Linked DNA regions of Mus musculus. The protein of the gene in region 1 binds, or shares a complex with, the protein of each later gene. Links are inferred from orthologs where the notes say so. Each region holds a gene or a part of one and is shown in the gene's direction. Other genes may lie near its edges. The genes, in order: Ripk1, Ripk3, Mefv, Aim2 and Zbp1.

Region 1 (4,076 bases):
CTGTGGCCTCTAGGAGAATCTGCACTCTATTATATACACACTCGTAAATAAAACAAACAAAAAACTTAAGGAAAAACAATGTACAGGAACCTGAAGAAGATAGCTCATGGTTCCTTCAGCAAAGTGCTTTCCATGGCAACATATGGATCTGAGTTCAATCCCCAGCACTCATACAGAAACAAACAAACAAAACTGGCCATGGAGACACCCCTGGTGCCTCTTGCCTTGGCCAGACAGCTTAGTCCATTCCACAAGCAAAAGGTAAAAGTAATACCTTGTATGGAAAAGAAAAAGATGCATTGTAAGAAGGAGCTAACTGGAGGTGGGCTCCTGGCCTCCCATATGTGGAGTTTTATACACACACACACACACACACACACACACCCAATCCCACCCGGAAAGAACTCCAAACAAACAAACAAACAAAAAACCCAACTTAAGTACATGTGTTTATACACTAGATGTATGTTCATTTGGGTACATACCTGTATGTGAAACTGATAAATCATACAGTAACCATAAAGGTTTTGCATTCTTTGCAGGAATGTATGTGATTTTCAGTTAGTGTACGTTTTTGTTAACATCGGTGAATGTTTGGGATTTGGGGGCATTTTATGTGTACTCTACATCAAAGTTGAGTTCCCCTAATGTCCTTTGACATTGAGCATCTTTTTAATGCTTATTTGTATGGTGAGGTATCTGGTAAAATGGCTGTGAATTTTCTTAAAGTGGTCGTGTGTATGGTTTAATAAGACTCCTTTATCGTGTCTTTTGTGGCCCTCTCTCTGTCTTGTCATATTTATCTTTTGACAATAAGGGATCACTGGACTATCGTGCAACTTTCTTCTTAATGACACCTGCAGCAACACAGTTTCTGCTTGGGGTTTCAACTACTATTTTCGAGGGCTACAAATTAATCACGTTTCTTCCTCGACAGGCTGCTGTGGTGGACGAACGATAATTTACCAGTGGTTCTGTCACCGTGTCACCTCTGAACCCACAAAGCTTGCAAAGGCCACTGTCGCACACAGCGCTATCTAGCGGGCCAAGCGGTCTCCGCCCTGACATATAGCAGCTATGACCGCCGTATTATTTTTTTTAAGGGCTCTCTCAGAACTCGCTCAGAAAGCAAGGCAAAAGTGCCATTCCTTCCGCCCGCGGGCCTCCGGGATGGTCGTGCTGCGAACCTGGCATGCTCAGTAGAGCTCAATGCCCAGCTGGGAGGCTGGCGCTCGCCCGTGCACACAGCCCCGGGGCGTGAGCAGAGGCGGAGACAGGGGCGGCCGCAGCCTAGCACCACCCCAGTAGTCCTTAGAGGAGGACCAGCGGCCCCCGGAACGGCCTCGGGAGCGCGGGTGTCGGTGCCGCTCACCTCCCGGGAGTCCAGCGGCGGTGCGGACCCGCGGAGGTGCGAGCTGGACGCGGCGGGAGGCGGCAGGCTGTGGGGGACCTGCGAGTGGCTGGGCGCCACTTCAGCACCGAACTCCGACCGGTCCTCGTCAGGGCCCAGGGCCGTCCCGGCCGGGCAGCCACGGCGAGGCGCCGCTCCTGACGTCCACCGCCCGTCCTTCCTCACCTAGGCCGGGGTACTTGGCCGCGGGAAGGCCTCTGAGGTAAGTCAGCGCGGGGGTCGAGGCCAGGGGCGCCGCCGCTAGTTTCCTCAGAAGCTGGTTTCCCGGAAGGGGCGGAGGCCGCGCGATTTCTGCGCGTGGACCGGAGGGCGGGGCTCGTTGTTTCCGGAAGCCGGGTGGCGGGCGGGACTTCAAACGTTCCCGGAAATCGAAAAGCGCGGAACTTGCTGTCATCTAGCGGGAGGTTGGACTCTTCTTGAGGTCGTTTTAGCTCAAGTCGAGACTGAAGGTGCGCCGTAGCCATGGTTACAGAGTGACTATGGAACGATTATTTTGGTAGGAATGACAGCTTCTTGAAGCTTTAGGACCCCAACAAGACTACCTAAATGTAACCTATCAACCCTGGACCTACCAGCTCTTTAAAAGGGTCTATTCCTGTTGTCTTGGGGCAGCAGGTGGCAGAGCAGTCGGTAGCTTTCATCGTTATTTTTGAGGTGAGCTGGCAAATCAGGAGTGATCTACGACCTCAACGAGAGACCAGTGTCAAACATCCAAGGCTTCTCTGGTCCTCAGTAGCATTTGCATTTATGGGTTGCTGCAGACCTTTTCTGAGTTGTGAAAAAGATAAGCCACATCCTCCTCACCTAAGCGTTGGACAGAGCCCACTGAGGATGGATGGTGCAGCCCAGGGTGACTCATTCTTTGTGTCTTGCAGATCATTTGATTTTCTTGCTCTTTTACTTTGTGCAAAGAGTTGAAGCTGTTTTAATCAAGAAATTCCACAAAAGACCTTTAGGAAAGTATTCTTTCTTAACACATGAAGACTCGATGGTAGAGTGAACTTTGGGATGCAATGACTTAATTGTGTAATTCTGTAGCCCCTGGAAAGATACTACTAAGGCTTGTGAGAAAGGTGAACTATCACAGCTGTATTGTATGTAGAAATATACTAGTCTTATTGAAAATGAAATTTGGGATGTTTTGTTTGTATGACTGACAAAAACAGTAGTAACAATTCTTAACTTTAATTTCCATTTTTCTCATTCTTTGCTACTTTGAGCCTTACACATAATGTTAAGCTTTCAAGATTGTAATAAGATATGTGCCCAAGGTAACAACTTACAAACTGGGCACAGTACTATTACACCTTAGTTAATGTCTCCTTAATATCTCCAGTAGGATCTGGAATTTGAAGCAAATATATAGTTTCCCACACATCGGTAGGATATCATTCTGGCAGATGTGTCTTACTATAAAAACATGGATATAATACTAAGTTTTTTTTAAATTTAATCTGTACATCCCCATGTTTTTAAAATGTAGAATATTCAATTAATCTGGGTAAGTCCATATGATTTTATATGTTTGTTTGTTTGTTTGTTTATTGTTTTTGAGACTGGGTCTCTTTGTGTAGCCTTTGCTATCCTGAAGCTAGCTATGTAGAAGGCCAGGCTGGCCTTGAATTCCCAGAGATCTACCTGCCTCTGTCTTCCTGGTGTCCGGATGGAAGGCATGTGTCACTATGCCTGGAATACCATGGCACACTATGCCTGGCAACAATTTCGTCTTTGCATTGGGGGTTTTCAAAAGAAAATTATTAGTTGCCTTTCTAGAAAAAAATATTAAAGAACTGAGAGTGAAAGCCTGAGAGAAGGGGTAAGGTGAATTCAATTCGGGTGAATCATTTAACCTCAACTTGTAATTTCTTTATTTGTAAATTGAAAATAGTCTTGATAAATTAATTCACAGACCACAATGTGCTGATGTGTTTGATCATACTTTGTTAAATTTTATTCCACCTTGTCTTTTGTTGGTGGTTTGATTCCTTGTTCAATGCCCTTTTGTGAAACAAGCACAGGCTGTTTTAATTAAAGAACCTTGGATGCAGCGAGCCACTGATATGTCACTTACCTGAGTAAAATCAGAATTCTTCTAAGAAGGAAGTAGGGCACAGCTAGCAGTTGACATTCTTTGTCCTCCTGCTCTTATTATACAAGATAGTCACTGAAAATTTAAGTGAAAATTAGTTGGGTTTTAAAAGGAGTGCAGCCATTAAAAGGGATATGTACACACGAATATACAACTTTTTTTTCTAAAACAAGGTCTCGCTATATAGCCCTGACTGGTCTGGAACTCACTAAGTAAGCGTGAACTTAAACAGTATTATATGTAAATATAATGTAGACTTATTTTGCCAGTGTTCATTTTGAAATTTCTGATTCATTTCAGTGGAAAAAAATTAACTTTCCTGTGGTTCTGACTTAATAATCATTTATCTCAAAACATTAGCAAATTCCATTGAGACATGACATTAGTTAAAGTTAGTTATCACTTACTATAACAGGTAAATATGACTTAGTTAAGTCTTTAAAATGGTGTTTGATTATCTGGCTTCCTACCTTACATTCAGTGGTTTTGCAATCCTTGGGTCTACCTCAATAAACTGCCCACATGGCTCTCTCAAAATACACTGCTAATAGACTGAATGGGCATTACCAGTAGAGT
Region 2 (4,280 bases), on another chromosome or scaffold:
CCTCAAACTCCTTATGTAGACCAGGCTGGTCCTAGAGGTCTGCCTGCCTCTGCTTCCTGAGGGCTGGGATTAAAGGTGTGCACCACCAGTCCTGTTACCCAACAGTCTGACACTCTAGGATCTTGAAAAGCTTTCATGGAGAATATATGCCATGCTTGCCTGAAGCATGAATCAGAGTATTTACTTGCCAAAGGTATCACACAAGGGGAAGGGTGGGAAGCCCTTAGAGCTGCTACAGAGGCCATCACAGCAGCAGTGGCTCGATTGCAGGGCCAGCACACCTATCCTCATTACAACACCCTGGCATAGACCCTGGGCCTTCCAGCTCCACAACCCCTACTTAGTAGCTGCTCTTGCTGAGCAGGGATTCCAAGAGGTCCTTTAGTGCATACTGCGTGCCTCATACCTTACCTGCACCACAGGTAGATTTATATAGCCCAGAGGCATTGTCAAGAAGAATAAGCTAACTTGAGCTGGAGTGTGTGTGTGTGTGTGTGTGTGTGTGTGTGTGTGCCGCTTAGTAGGCAAAATTCTTGTCATGCAAGCATGAGGACCTGAACTCATATTCCCACAACTAAAGTGACATTGGGGACAGTAGCCCATGTATACCATGCCAGTGTTCCTACAGCAAGATGAGAGACAGGAGAATACTGGGACATTAACAGGCTAACACATAGCATTATGCACACAGCAGAGAACAAACTGACCCTATCTCAAACAAGGTCGAACACCTACACACACACACACACACACACACACACACACACACCATGACATGCACCCCTTCACCACATGCATGGTCATGCACACACATAAATAAATTTTAAGATAAATAAGAAAGCCAAGCATGGTGGCGTACACCTTTAATCCCAGCATTTAGTCAGGAGGCAGATGCAGATGGCTCTCTGTGAGTTTGAGTCAACCTGGTCTGTATACTCGAGTCCCAGATCAACCAGGGCTCCAAAAAGAGACCCTGTCTCAAAAGTAAGTAAGTAAGTAAGTAAGTAAGTAAGTAAGTAAATAAATAAATAAATAAATAAATAAAATAAGGGCTACCTTGGTGGAGCAGAACTCGGTTCTAAACTAGTCCCATACTTACTTGGCCAAGCGATTTAAACTTTAAGTACTTGGGTTTCCTCCTCTATAGAAAAGAAAACACGGTTGATCTAAGAAGCCAGTATGTGTACCTGGCCCAAGACAACCCTTACTAGAAGCGTTACTCCGTGATCTTAGGACCATAAAATCCTCCTGATCTCCATCCTCCCTTCATCAAAATGTGGTTGGCAAGCGGTGGAGCTAAGGGGTCCAAGAGAGACTGGCTATCGTGGGGAGTCAATCGTTCCTGGATGGTGAGGACACCTTTTGTGGCACGCCCAGTGCCTGGGCGCTTCTCGGGTGGAAGCAGTTTCAAGGCACGTGCACAGGAAATAGCCCCAAAGTTTTCAATGCTCCACCCCAGGGGGCGGAGATAGAAGGAGCCTCTTATTTGAAAGGGAAGTTGTGAAGTCGCTCATTCAAAGTCCGGGGGAGCGACCTGGGAAGCGGAATTCGGGGCCTGAACCTCCGTGCCTTGACCTACTGATTGTTCCCTTTGCAGACCCTGCCTTCCTCTCAGTCCACACTCCGAGCCGTAGACGTCGGGTTTCCAGCTCCGTCTGTGCACACATAACTCCAGGAAGCCGCTAGCTCCCGACGATGTCTTCTGTCAAGTTATGGTGAGTGGGGAGTGAGCTGTGTCTCCGGCACACCCACACAGGTGGCCCGGGGACACACTCAAAGGACGCCTTTTCTGAGGCAGGGGACAAAGCTGGGGGTGAGGCGGGCAGCAGTGGGGAGGCTAGACTCGCTGCCTACGCTGCCCACGCGCAGTCACGGAATCCCGGAGCTTGGGAGACAGAGGATGCGCTAGGCTGGGGGATGGGCCCCCTACCGGACAAGAACCTTTCTCAGGCCTACTGGTGCGTCAGCGGTTCCTCTGGTGAGCCGTGAAGAACTGAAGAAGCTGGAGTTTGTGGGTAAAGGAGGGTTCGGAGTCGTGTTCCGGGCACACCACAGAACATGGAACCATGATGTAGCAGTCAAGATCGTGAACTCGTGAGTGACCCCAGCTGTAGTCAGAGTGTGGTCACGAGCCTGAGTGGGGCAAGGGTGGGGTCTTCCAGAGCGCAATCCAATTTTGGCCCCCTTTCGGCGTGTAGGAAGAAGATATCCTGGGAGGTGAAGGCTATGGTTAATCTTCGTAATGAGAACGTTCTGCTCCTGCTGGGGGTCACTGAGGACCTCCAGTGGGACTTCGTGTCCGGGCAGGCTCTGGTGACAAGATTCATGGAGAATGGCTCCCTCGCAGGGCTGCTGCAACCCGAGTGCCCTCGGCCCTGGCCACTCCTCTGTCGCCTGCTGCAGGAAGTGGTGCTGGGGATGTGCTACCTACACAGCTTGAACCCTCCGCTCCTGCACCGGGACCTCAAGCCCTCTAACATTCTGCTGGATCCAGAGCTCCACGCCAAGGTTAGTCCATCTACAACCTAGTGTAGACTTGGGACCATGTTGAGTACCTGTCCCTCTGAATACAAGACTACACACATGACAAGACCCAACTAGGAGTTTTATTTCTAGTCATACCAGGTGACCCTCCTTACCAGACGCCCTTCTTAACCCCCTGGCTCAGTTCCACAGGCCTAATGCACCCTCACGGACCCAGGCTGACTTATCTCAGGCCTGCCCATCAGCAACTCAGATCTCCTGCTAAGTTCTCAATGACTTTACCTTCCCTCTGGTCCTCCATAACACCTTCCAAAAAGCTGAGGCTGCTGCATCTTCTGGGGAGCAAGAGAGGGAAAAATCTCTGACCCCCCCCTTCATCTAATACCTTCCCTTTCCTTTCCTTTACAGCTAGCAGATTTTGGCCTGTCCACGTTTCAGGGAGGGTCCCAGTCAGGGTCAGGATCAGGATCAGGATCCAGGGACTCTGGGGGCACCCTAGCGTACTTGGACCCAGAGCTGTTATTTGATGTCAACCTGAAGGCTTCTAAAGCGAGTGATGTCTACAGGTAAACCATCCACCCCAAACACACTCCAAATCTCTATACCAATTTGGGCCCTTCTAAAGGGAATGATACAGGAAAGAAGTCTCGCCAGAGGCCATCTAAGCCTCCATTTGTGTCTGTACAGCTTTGGGATCCTCGTGTGGGCAGTGCTGGCTGGCAGAGAAGCTGAGTGTAAGACTCCAAATGGAGTACCCGAAAGCACCTAAACCCCCCTGGAGCCCTCCCTTTTACCCTGACCCACTAACACACTGCCCTCTTCCCACCTCACCTCTCACTTGGATGACTCTCCCTGCTCCTGTCCGCGATAGAATGGGCTGTCCCCTCATTTCATGAATTCCTTATGTTATCCCCCAACTCCAGTGGTAGACAAGACTTCACTAATCCGGGAAACAGTGTGTGACAGGCAGAGTCGTCCTCCACTGACAGAGCTGCCTCCAGGTAGCCCTGAGACTCCCGGCTTGGAAAAACTGAAGGAGTTAATGATTCATTGCTGGGGTTCCCAGTCCGAAAACAGGCCATCCTTCCAGGGTGAGTTGGCCGTATCTCTGGCAACTAGGGTAGGCTTGGGTCTTCAGCAGGGAGCTCCTCCAAGGAAAGAAATCCGACTCATATACAACTCGCTGTTGTCTTTCAGACTGCGAACCAAAAACCAATGAAGTTTACAATCTGGTAAAGGACAAGGTAGATGCTGCTGTCTCCGAGGTGAGTTTCTAGCACTGCCTTCCCATCCAGGAACTGTTGGGAGATGGCACAAGTGGCTCCCTTAACCATTCAGTTTATCTTCACTGGCCACCATTATTTAATCCTTGGTTGTCATTCCCATTCACCAGAACCTACTCCTTAGTCTCCAGAGACCAAGAAAATTTTCACTGGGGTTTACTTTGGCTGCCCCAGCTCCTGACAACAAGGTCCCCCTGTCTGCACAGGTAAAGCATTATCTGTCTCAGCACAGAAGCAGCGGCAGAAACTTGTCTGCCAGAGAGCCAAGCCAAAGAGGCACAGAAATGGATTGCCCGAGGGAAACCATGGTTTCTAAAATGCTGGACCGCCTGCATTTGGAGGAACCCTCCGGACCAGTTCCTGGAAAATGTCCTGAGAGGCAAGCACAGGACACATCAGTTGGGCCTGCCACACCAGCAAGGACATCTTCTGACCCCGTGGCTGGCACTCCTCAGATTCCACATACTTTACCCTTCAGAGGCACAACACCTGGGCCAGTCTTTACTGAGACTC
Region 3 (3,514 bases), on another chromosome or scaffold:
ATGTGTGGTACATATACGCATGCATTCAGGCAAAATATTGTTCACATAAAAATAGTTAAATCTTAAGATAGTTAAACTTTAAATTGCTGTGAAGAGACACTTATGACAGAAAGCATTTAATTGGGGCCTCATGGTTCTAGAAGGTTAGAGTCCTTGAGCATCATGGCTGGAAGCATGGCACCAGGCAGGCAGGCTTGGTGCTGAAGCAGTAGCTGAGAGCTTACATCTAATCTATATGCATTAGGCCAAGAAAGAGGGGGTCAAAGAGAGAAGAGAGAGACAGAGACAGAGACAGAAAGAGACAGAGAGACAGAGGAGATGGAGATGGGGAGAGACAGAGAAAGAAAATTGGAAAGGGTGTGGGTTTCTGAAACCTCAAAGCTCAACCTCAGTGACATACCTCTTCCAAAGACCATACCTACTAATCCTTCCCCAACAGTTCCACCAACTGTGGATCAAACATTCAAATATATGAGCCTTATAGGAGCCATTCTCGTTCAAATGTCACACTGAGAAAGCCTGCCTCTCATCCATCTCTATCAGATGATCTTGGAGGGCATTCCTAGATACATACTTCCAGCACACAGCACACACCCACACATCTCCCAATCCTATGTTCCCCAGAAACAAACAGAAATCCAGAAGCAGAAGATTTCATGTCCACTTGAGAAGCTATACCAACTCCTGGAGAAGCAAGAACAACTCTTTGTGACCTGGCTACAGGAGCTAAGCCAGACCATCAGCAAGGTCAGAGAGACATACTACACCCGGGTTTCCCTACTGGATGAGATGATTGAAGAACTAGAGGCCAAGCAAGACCAGCCAGAGTGGGACCTCATGCAGGTCAGTGTGAGTGTGCCTAGCCTTTGCCTGCCTTCTGTGAGCAATGGCATGACTTGGGCTCTTGAAATCCCACCCCCAAGCCAGGAAGCATGGCCATTAAGGCCTGGAATGGGACTTGGTCTCAGTGACCCACAGTGTCTTTTTGATGAGATCTCTCAGGAGCCCAGAACGTCTTAACATGTAGGATGCCCCTGGCATCACCCAAGAAAAGACGAGAAGAACTAGAGGGTGGTTGCACTGTGGGCTCAGGCAAGGCTTCCTTCCATCTTTGTGATTAGAATTACCATGAAGGAGAAACAATCCTGTTTACTGGCACCCTAGGACTGGGAGTCAGAGAGCAGCTTGCTGCTGGGGAGTCATAGCTCTTGGAGACTGTTAATAGAGAGCTTTCCTCTTTTCTCTCCTAGGACATTGGAATCACCTTGCACAGGTACTGAGAGATCCCATGGTGTCCCCTTGGGTGTCTTGCAGAAAGCATTTGGATGAGACAGTCCTACAAAGGAGCTGGATCTGTAACCCAGGACTCCTGTTTCCTAAAGCTTCCTGAGACTGTCATTCCTGGATTTGAGTGGGAAGAACAAAATGTATGGGCAGTGGGGAGGGCAGGAATGGACTGCTGAGAAGGAATTTATCCCAGGCCTGCCGAATTCAAGCGGTACTTTCCCAAGAAACCTCTCAAATGGATGCCATTTGTTTTACTACAGAGTTCTTAGAACTGCCTCTGGTCTCAAGCACTTTGGGATGGGGTGGGGGTGGGGATGTCCTTAGGGATCAATATGAAGGTGGATTAAGCCCAGCAGGCAGGGGAAAGAGAGGTGAACTGGAAAAGGAGTTACTTAGGAACTTTACAAAGTCCTGGTTTCCAAGCCACTGCTGCCCCAACTGAGTCTCAGTGTTGAGGTTGAGAGTTGGGGGTTAGTGGGGTTTTAAAAGTTATTTTTCCATAAAAATATGAATATCATAAAATATCAGTTATTTTATGCCTACAGTTCACTAATGTTAATATGGCTACATTGGTGTGCACCTGTTTGCACCGTCTAACTCCAGAACCTTTTTGTCTTCCCACATAGGAACTCTGTACCATTAAGTACTAGTTCCTCATCCTCCCTCCCCTGCTGCCTGGCAACCACTAGTCTGTTCTCCCTGTTTATTAGTTTGATTGTTCTAAATACCCCATATTATCAGAATCATTCAATGTTTGTCCTTTAGCCTTTGGCTTACTTTCACTCCGCACATTTTCACGGCTCCTTCACATTGTAGCTGTTTCAGAATCCCACTCTGTTTAATTGCCAAGTGACACCCCTTTGTATGCAGGTATCACATATTATTTGTTCATTTGTTTTTGCTGTTATAATGGCCATTCTAATAGGAGTGAAGTAGCATTTTGTTGTTCTTTTTCTTTCAATAGAAATAGTATAATTTGACATAGGGAACTCTGATAGCAAGACTAAACTCGGTTTTAAAGCTGCCACTTAAACTCATTGTGATTTCTATAACGGTGGTTCAGTGATGCTGATGTACAGCTGAGGTTGAGGACCAGTGCCAGAGCTTTGAGTCTAGGAAAGACTTCTTTGCATCACCCATACTGGGACGGTCTGTCACCTCACAGGGCCTCAGACAACATCTTGCTCGTATCTTCTCTGGCCGACAATCTCTTGTCTCTAGGGCTAAGATGATGTCTGCCTCTGAGCTGTTGGACACTCCTCCAGGTGTTAAAGAAAAGCTTCATCTGCTCTACCAGAAGTCAAAGTCTGTGGAGAAGAATATGCAGTGTTTCTCAGGTCAGTGAGCCTGGATGGAAATGGCAAGCCCTTGCTCATCTCCTCCCTGGGCTTCAGGCAGCTCAGAGCCTGTTCGGTCACTTCCCTACACAGCAAAACCTTTATGACCCCGCTTTCTTCTGATCCAACTCGTTCAGCTAACTCAGTTTCTTCTGTTTTTCTTTCTTAATTTTAGAAATGCTGAGCTCTGAAATGGCATTCAGCGCTTCAGATGTAGCAAAATGGGAAGGGCGCCAGCCTAGCGCCACACAGGTCCAGGGCTTGGTTCCCACCGTTCACCTAAAGTGTGATGGTGCACACACACAGGACTGTGATGTAGTATTTTACCCAGAACGGGAAGCTGGAGGATCAGAACCTAAAGATTACCTTCATCCTCAGCCAGCTCAAGACACACCTGAGCTACATGAGATCCATTCTCGGAACAACAAAAGAAAATTTAAATCTTTCCTGAAATGGAAACCTTCATTCGTAAGTTTGGTGGTAACAATCTAAGCAAGGATTTTTGTAATTATCCTTTATCTCTTGCTCTAGGGGAGCCATTCAGAAAAGGGAGGAATACACCTAGAATGGAAGCACAAAACAGGTCATAAAAGGCCCCAGAGTTCTGCCTTGTTGATTGAAGTAGTAGCTTCAGTGTTTAGGATGCCTGGGGGGCCTTGAATGACGTAGGATGCAGAGTCCAAGCAGGAGAATCCTGATCTTTCCTTGTGGGGAGAGTGTAATTCAGACCCCCTGAGTTGGTATACTACAAACTTTATTCAATCTTTCTTTCCTCCCCTCTGTAGTCCAGAACTGACTGGCGCTTAAGAACATGCTGGTAAATGCCTAAATCAAGGCAAGTAGTGGCCTTGGTATATTGGGTCCCTGTATGTTCCTATCCCCTATCACAA
Region 4 (4,266 bases), on another chromosome or scaffold:
GGCTATGAACTCCCTGGTAAAGCAGGAAATAACTTTTGTGGAGTTCCCTATATCTAAAATACCTCTGGTTGAGACCTCACAGCTGGAGGAGAAACTCTGCTGAGGCTTGTAAAAAGGAAACTGAAAACTAGCATTTGCTTGGGCAGAGCCTTAATATATAATTATTTTGCCCCAGCATCAGGGTTTAGGACTCAGCTATAGGGCCAGGACTAGCCAAGCTTCAAAGTGAAAGAAGATAGTTGAGAGTACTTTCTGCTTTCTGTCTCCCAAGACCTGATTTTCATGATTTTCATGTCCTACTACTCATAGTGAAAATCTTTGTGAGGCGGATGGTTTGAACTCTCAGGACATACACCAGTCCCTGAGTTGAGAACTAAGGCTGCTTTGGAGAGAAGAAAATCCCCTGAGGTAAGTAAGATATGTCAGAAGTTTTCTAGAGAAAGCTTTAGGACCATTTTGCTAATCAGTAAATTAAGAGGAAAGAGAGTCCTGGGTTTCTGAGGTTAGAAAGAGGGATTAGTATTGACTGTATTCTAGAAAAGAATAAGGCTGCAGGAAGCCTGGTTCTAAACCTTCAGTTGACTGAGGAACAGAAGTTATCTTTTATTGCACCACAACTGAGACCTTTACAAAAGAAAGTGCATTTGGCCGTGGCAGGAATTAGAATATATTGTTCAGAGGGTTGACCCAGACTGAGCCTAAAAGGAACTCTGATTTTCTGGGTGTGTTGGTCTGTAGGTGTTTTATTGACATGAATTTATATTTAGAAGAGGGCTTTTGATTTCTAGCTGAAGGGGGAAGAAACATAGGGGCCAGGGAGCTATTTCTCGATAAAAGGTGAGAATAATGGCATGACAGAAAGCCTGTGATGTAACGTTAGCTTGAAAGCATCAGAGCTCAAAATTCTAAGTAACCTTAATCTAAGAAGAAAATATCTAATAAAAAAAATGTGGGGAAAAAAAAACCCAGCATGGTAGTAACACAAAAGAACAATTAAAAAAAAATCAGACACGGAATCAAATAGAAAAAAAAAAAAAAAAAAAAGAAAGAAATGCCAAGCAGATAATGTTACTCCATAATCCCAAATGTTCAAGTGACATGGCATCTTTTAAAAATTATATGTGCTTTTAATCTCTATTTCCTTTACTTTATTAGGTAATAGCAAGTTTATTTCAGTCTAGTTCCAATTGGATCCTGCTTTCCCATTTCCATAGTTAAATCCCTGGAATTTGGGGGAAGGATCATTCCTATGGTATCTGTTGAGGTTTGAATATATGCCGGCTGGTGGCTCCGGAAGGTCTTGGGACTTTCACAAGGAGGAACTTACTGGAGAAACCTTATTGGAGGAAGTGGGTCACTGAGGGCGGCCTGTGAGAGGTGATAGGCGGTCTCACTTGTAACTCTGTTTCTTTGTCTGAGCAAGAATCACAACCTGCCTGCTTCCTGTCCTGCCTGCTTCCTGTCCTGTCTGCCGCCATGCTTCCTTAACTAGCTGCTAGGTTTTTTCCTTGTCGTGATGAAATCCACCCTCATGGACCTGTAAGTAAAATTAAAACCTACTTCTCCCCTATGTTGCTAATGTTCATGACATTTTATCAAAACAGAAAAGAAACTAATACAGCAAAATGCTGGGTCCTGTTTACATATCCAATTCTGTCTTTTGCGGGGAACTGAAAAGAGATATTAAGGAAAAGTGATTGCTAAGAGATATTTAAGGAAAAGTGATTGCTACTTCCTGTTATTTTTGTTGTTAGAGGTGGAATTATATCTGTGTGGCTATATTCTTTTAGTTTTTTTGAAAGATTACTTTCTTGCTTTTTTCTAGGGTGTAGTTTCCCTCTTGTGTTGGTGTTTTCCATCTATTATACTTTGTAGGGCCGGATTTATGAGAAAATATTGTGTAAATTTGGTTATGTCATGGAATATTTTGGTTTCTTCATCTATGGTAATTGAGATTTTTGCTGGGTATAGTAGCCTGGGCTGCCATGTGTATTCTCTTAGGGTCTATATGAAATCTACCCAGGATCTTCTGGCTTTCATAGTCTCTGTGGAGAAGTCTGGTGTAATTCTGATAGGTCTGACTTTATGTTACTTGACCTTTTTCCCTTACCACTTTTAATATTCTTTTTTTGTTTGGTGCATTTGGTGTTTTGATTATTATGACAGGAGGAATTTCTTTTCCGGTCCAGTTTGGAGTTCTGTAGACTTCTTGTATGTTCATGAGCATCTTTTTGTTTAGGTTAGGGGAGTTTTCTTCTATATTTTTGTTGAAAATCTTTACTGGCCCTTTAAGTTGGGAATCTTCGCTCTCTTCTATACCTATTATCCTTAGGTTTGATCTTCTCATTGTGTCCTGGATTTTCTGGATGTTTTGGGTTAAGAGCTTTTTGCATTTTCTTTGACTGTTTTGTCAATATTTTCTATGGTATCTTCTGCATCTGAGATTCTGTCTTCTATCTCTTGTATTCTGTTGGTGATGCTTGCATCTATGACTCTTGATCTCTTTTGTAGGTTTTCTAACTCCAGGGTTGTCTCCCTTTGTGATTTCTTTATTGTCTCTATTTCCATTTTTAGATCTTGGATGATTTTGTTCATTTCCTTTACCTGTTTGATTGTTTTTTCCTGTAATTCTTTAAGAGATTTTTGTGTTGCCTCTTTAAGTGCTTATAGCTGTTTACTGTGTTCTCCTGTATTAAATATTCATTAATGATATTTTTAGGGTATGAAAGGATATCAATATAAAAGTTGAACACATTTTTACAGACTATTTGATTCTCAAAATGCTCAATATTATTAATATGTTTGATGTATAAAATACATTTAAATATTAAAAATTGAAGAAAAAAAAGAAACTAATACAGTAACTACTCTTTGGAACTCAGTGATAACCTTTGTGCCCTTACCGAAAGTGTGGTAAGTATTTCTAAGTATCAGAACATAGTTGTTAATTATGTTGTTCAACTTTTCTACTTTTTTGCTTTTTGTTTTATTTTATTCTTGGCTATTTAAAGCGTTAGTTACTGAAGGAAATGTTTTGTAATTTCTGACCATCATGGTACATTTGCCATTTGTTAGTGGAGAACTGTCAAATTTTGTTTACAACTGTTGACTTTATTCAATGAGGTGCTTACTGTTTAGAATTGTTGGTTATATTACCTTGATGACTTTAACATTTAATTGTTGTATAGCAACTCTGTCCTTAATGGCACTATTTGTCTTATAGTCTTCTCTGACTAATATTGATAGAGCTGCTCTAACTAGAGTTTTTGTGCTTAGTGCCTGATACATATGTTCACGTATTTTTTGCTTTGCAGCTACTCAGCACTTCAATTTCCCCCACTGTGTCTTTTTTAAACACCACAGGCACCACAGTGGGTTTTATTCCAGTTTAGCATTCTTTTTAAACCCATGAGTCTAATTCATGTGCGTTCTGTCAGTTGAAATGTTTGAATCTTGTGTAACCATCTTATATCGCTTCATATGATATTTCCATGTTTGTTTTCTTCTTTTTAAAAATACACTTAAGATTATTCTTTACACAGAATGATGCATATTATGTTAGTCATGTTTTTAAAAGTCCCATTTATACATCTTGTGGGGAAACGCCATTTATCATTATCCCAGAATAATGCTTTCTGATGTACTTTTTGGTGAAACTGAATAACATCACATTTACTGCTTCAATAAGGTAAACTAGCATACAGCCAGTCACTGCAAAGTGAATAATCCATTGTGATTTAGTACATAGATAAGGCTGTATACCTTCCCTTAGATCTAGCTCCAAGATATAAGAATTACTCTTTCTATTTATCTCTGTAATTGTTTAAATGTTACCTCCTCAAATAGACATAGTCTGACGACCAACTTGAGTTACACTACACAGCCCCAGCCTGTACACTACACAGCTATACATACTTGTATTTGTTGTGGGGATAGTGAAGAAATCTTGCCTGATTCATGACTCATTTCCTCTAAGACTTACAAGATGCCTTACTGGACAAAACGAACTGATTGGTGAACAACAGCAGTTGATTTACTAGTTTATCCCTCAAGTGCATATCTTTTCCATTTTTATTTTCAAAAGGAGTTTTGGAAGTTTTTACACCATAGGGATAGCTGTTTAGTCACAGACAAGTGTATAGGGAGTGTAGAGCAAAGCACAGGATTTTTGGGATACTCCCATGAAGCAACTGCATAATCTGTGGTGGGGGCAGCCCATCCTGTGGCAATCATTCTCAGGAGAAGGCATGTTGGTACTGGCATGGT
Region 5 (2,825 bases), on another chromosome or scaffold:
TCTGGAACTCAGTGAGTTGACCAAAAGCCAGCATATAGATCCAGGCTGCAGGGAGGATGCAGGTATAGACACCAAGGTAATGAAGAGCCACAGAGGGGCTTTGCTCAGGACTTTGAAGGAAGCAGAGACCTTTTGGACTTGGAGTAAGATCGCATAGTCCTACATATGGGTAGTTAGGATTAGCATGGAGAGACCAGGATATCTGGATGTAAGGTAGATACGGTCTCCTGATGGTGAAGTGCTGCATGGTTTACATAGTGAGAATGGGCCACAGGTGTCATGGGTCACAGTCGCCAGGCCATCGTGGGTGTCATGGGTCACAGTCACCAGGCCCAGGCAAGGAACCCTTTGGGGAGCCATCATGGCTGCTCCTAGAGAGAAAATTATGAGCCCTGCCATCAAGGAAGCTCTGTAAGAGAACTAAAATAAGGAGCCAACAGGGACCTGCCAACAAATCCGGGGGAAGGGTTGCAAGTGTAAAAATGGCAGGTGCCAAAACCCGAGGGGAGAAGCACAGAGCAGGAGTCTGGGAAACAAGAGGGACCCAGGAGCCTAAAGCCTTGGTGGGTACCCACCAGGCCCTTTCAGAGCCTGAAGGCATGTGCAAAATGTCTCCATCTTATTTGAAATGAACTGGGAGACATGCAAGGTGTGAACAGAGGTGTGTGGTATAGTATTTAAGTCTTACTGGGCCATCGAGATGGCTCAGTGAGTGCACACATTTGCTGCCAAGTCTGATGGCCCAGGACCCACATGGTAGAAGGAGAGAGCCAACTCCCACCTGTTGTCCTCTGACTTCTATACACAGACACACAGACACAGAGACACAGACACAGAGACACATCAGTCAATCAATCAATCAATCCATGTGTTGGGGAGTGTTATGTCTCCCATAGGACAGTTTGGGAACAAAGCCCTGGAGTGCATTCAAGCAGAAACCCCACCACTGTGCTTTCGGAGCAAACACTTCTGAGGAGTCTGCAGGGTACCTTCCTTTTCTCCCTGCCCCCAGGTACAAGCTCTGAAGCCACTCCACCCAGAAGCTGCCAGCACACGCCCAGTGACTCCATGCTGCCCACCTCTGAGCTGAGAGCTATGGCTCTGGGAGACAGTAGCCCCCAGACCACAGAACCTGTGCTTAGAGAGCATGAAGTCCAGGACATAGAAAGCTCTCAAGACACAGGACTGAGGTGAGGAAAGAGGTGGCAAGAGCACAGGCAGAGGTGGAGAGGCCTTTGGGACTTTTTTGTGGCTGTACACAGGGCCTGTACTAGATTTCTGTTGTGATTCAAGTGTGGTATTGTCCCTGGAAAGGCCAAGGATCAGCAACTTGGTCCTGTATGACTCCAAGATCATCCACACACCAGTCTCTCGATGGATTCACTGTCTGACAAGGATATCCATCCGGTCAGGGTAGAGACTTTGGGAAGCCAAAGAAAATGAGTCACTAAAGACATCAGGGTCTCATGTGGTCCAAACTGGCTTTGATTCACTCTGTCACCAAGGGTGACCTTGAATTCCTGATCTCCTGGCCTCCAATTCCTGAGTGCTGGAATCCTAGGCATGTACCACCAAGTCCAGTTTATGAGATGCTAAGGGGGAAACTTCATGCATGCCTCACAAGGGCTACCAATGCAGCCTCAGTCCCAGCTTGGGCCATGCCCCTTCCAGTCTCTCTAGTCATCTCTTCTTTCTGCCTTCCCAGCAAGCAATGAAGCTGTGGGACCATAGGCTGACCCCTCTGCCACTATAAGTCAAATCAACCTTTCCTGCCTCAAGATCAATCAATCGATCAACCGCAGGAGCCAGTTCTACCACTCCTGGATGCTCACCCAAAGGCAAAAGTCAACACAGAGAGATCTCCGCATATCCATGTAGATTGGGACACTGTTCACAGCAGCTAAGAAGTGGAACCGACCTTGCTACCCAGCAGTAAAAGATGGGTGAATTGGAGTATGCACACAGCCATGGGAAATACTGAGGCTGTCATTGGCCAGAAGAGGATGTGACCAGAGGCCACCATGTTGAATGAATGAAAGCCATCTTAGAAAGACAAGGGCCACATTTTCTCTGTTGTGGCTCCTAGACTTTAGATAGATTTATAAAATCATATACACAGATGTGACATGAAAGTACATGTAACACCAACCAGGGGATGAGGATGGTGCATGGGGAGGAGAGGCGGGGGTCACAGCCTGGGGGGGGGTCACGGTCTGGGAGGGTGTCACCACCTAAAGAGATCACAGCTGGGGGGATCAGGGCCGGGAGGGGGGACACTGCTGAATGCACTGTACTTTTATAAAAAGGTGTACCTCTGAAACCCAGGCTAGTGTTTCTTTCAACTAAAGAGCATCAAGCCACTGAGAAAACGGATTTAAAGCATTAAACCAGAGGCGGGCGAGATGGCCCTGCAGTAAAGGTGCTTGCCCCCTGTCATGGTTTGAATATGCTTGGCCTAGGAAGTGGCACTGTTAGGAGGTGTGGCCCTGTTAGAGTAGGTGTGTCACTGTGGGTGTGGGCTTAAGGCCCTCACTCCAACTGCCTGGAAGTCAGTCTTCCATTAGCAGCCTTCAGATGAAGATGTAGAACTCTCAGCTCTGCCTGCCTGGATGCTGCCACACTCCCCCCTTGATGATAATGAACTGAACCTCTGAACCTGTAAACCAGCCCCAGTTAAATGTTGTCTTTTATAAGACTTGCCTTGGTCATGGTATCTGTTCACAGCCATAAAACCCTAACTAAGATACTCCCAAGTCCCATGACAAGGGTAGGCTATTGTTCACAGTTGATGCCCTACACAAAGCTGAGGGGCCCGTTAGTCTCCT

The links.
Region 2: Ripk1 (region 1) and Ripk3 share a complex: the UniProt entries of both Homo sapiens proteins name them as parts of the AIM2 PANoptosome complex. The link is inferred for Mus musculus from reciprocal best matches to the Homo sapiens genes RIPK1 and RIPK3.
Region 3: Ripk1 (region 1) and Mefv share a complex: the UniProt entries of both Homo sapiens proteins name them as parts of the AIM2 PANoptosome complex. The link is inferred for Mus musculus from reciprocal best matches to the Homo sapiens genes RIPK1 and MEFV.
Region 4: Ripk1 (region 1) and Aim2 share a complex: the UniProt entries of both Homo sapiens proteins name them as parts of the AIM2 PANoptosome complex. The link is inferred for Mus musculus from reciprocal best matches to the Homo sapiens genes RIPK1 and AIM2.
Region 5: Ripk1 (region 1) and Zbp1 share a complex: the UniProt entries of both Homo sapiens proteins name them as parts of the AIM2 PANoptosome complex. The link is inferred for Mus musculus from reciprocal best matches to the Homo sapiens genes RIPK1 and ZBP1.

What each region holds. Positions count from the first base shown.
Region 1 is NC_000079.6:34,001,094-34,005,169, forward strand, and holds the start of Ripk1 (receptor-interacting serine/threonine-protein kinase 1), read left to right. Parts: upstream 1-1,269; 5' UTR 1,270-1,613; exon of another isoform or gene 1,614-1,701; intron 1,702-1,780; exon of another isoform or gene 1,781-1,860; intron 1,861-1,870; exon of another isoform or gene 1,871-2,065; intron 2,066-4,076. UniProt on the Homo sapiens protein: Serine-threonine kinase which is a key regulator of TNF-mediated apoptosis, necroptosis and inflammatory pathways.
Region 2 is NC_000080.6:55,786,052-55,790,331, reverse strand, and holds the start of Ripk3 (receptor-interacting serine/threonine-protein kinase 3), read left to right. Parts: upstream 1-1,474; 5' UTR 1,475-1,695; coding exon 1,696-1,715; intron 1,716-1,869; exon of another isoform or gene 1,870-1,950; coding exon 1,951-2,094; intron 2,095-2,198; coding exon 2,199-2,508; intron 2,509-2,892; coding exon 2,893-3,050; intron 3,051-3,171; coding exon 3,172-3,218; intron 3,219-3,315; exon of another isoform or gene 3,316-3,407; coding exon 3,408-3,575; exon of another isoform or gene 3,576-3,681; coding exon 3,682-3,749; intron 3,750-3,973; coding exon 3,974-4,280. UniProt on the Homo sapiens protein: Serine/threonine-protein kinase that activates necroptosis and apoptosis, two parallel forms of cell death. Necroptosis, a programmed cell death process in response to death-inducing TNF-alpha family members, is triggered by RIPK3 following activation by ZBP1.
Region 3 is NC_000082.6:3,708,123-3,711,636, reverse strand, and holds part of Mefv (pyrin), read left to right. Parts: intron 1-624; coding exon 625-843; intron 844-1,250; coding exon 1,251-1,273; intron 1,274-2,508; coding exon 2,509-2,624; intron 2,625-2,799; coding exon 2,800-3,092; intron 3,093-3,409; coding exon of another isoform or gene 3,410-3,441; intron 3,442-3,514. UniProt on the Homo sapiens protein: Involved in the regulation of innate immunity and the inflammatory response in response to IFNG/IFN-gamma.
Region 4 is NC_000067.6:173,419,148-173,423,413, forward strand, and holds the start of Aim2 (interferon-inducible protein AIM2), read left to right. Parts: upstream 1-1,456; 5' UTR 1,457-1,539; intron 1,540-4,266. UniProt on the Homo sapiens protein: Sensor component of the AIM2 inflammasome, which mediates inflammasome activation in response to the presence of double-stranded DNA (dsDNA) in the cytosol, leading to subsequent pyroptosis.
Region 5 is NC_000068.7:173,206,107-173,208,931, reverse strand, and holds the end of Zbp1 (Z-DNA-binding protein 1), read left to right. Parts: intron 1-1,012; coding exon 1,013-1,190; intron 1,191-1,705; coding exon 1,706-1,715; 3' UTR 1,716-2,320; downstream 2,321-2,825.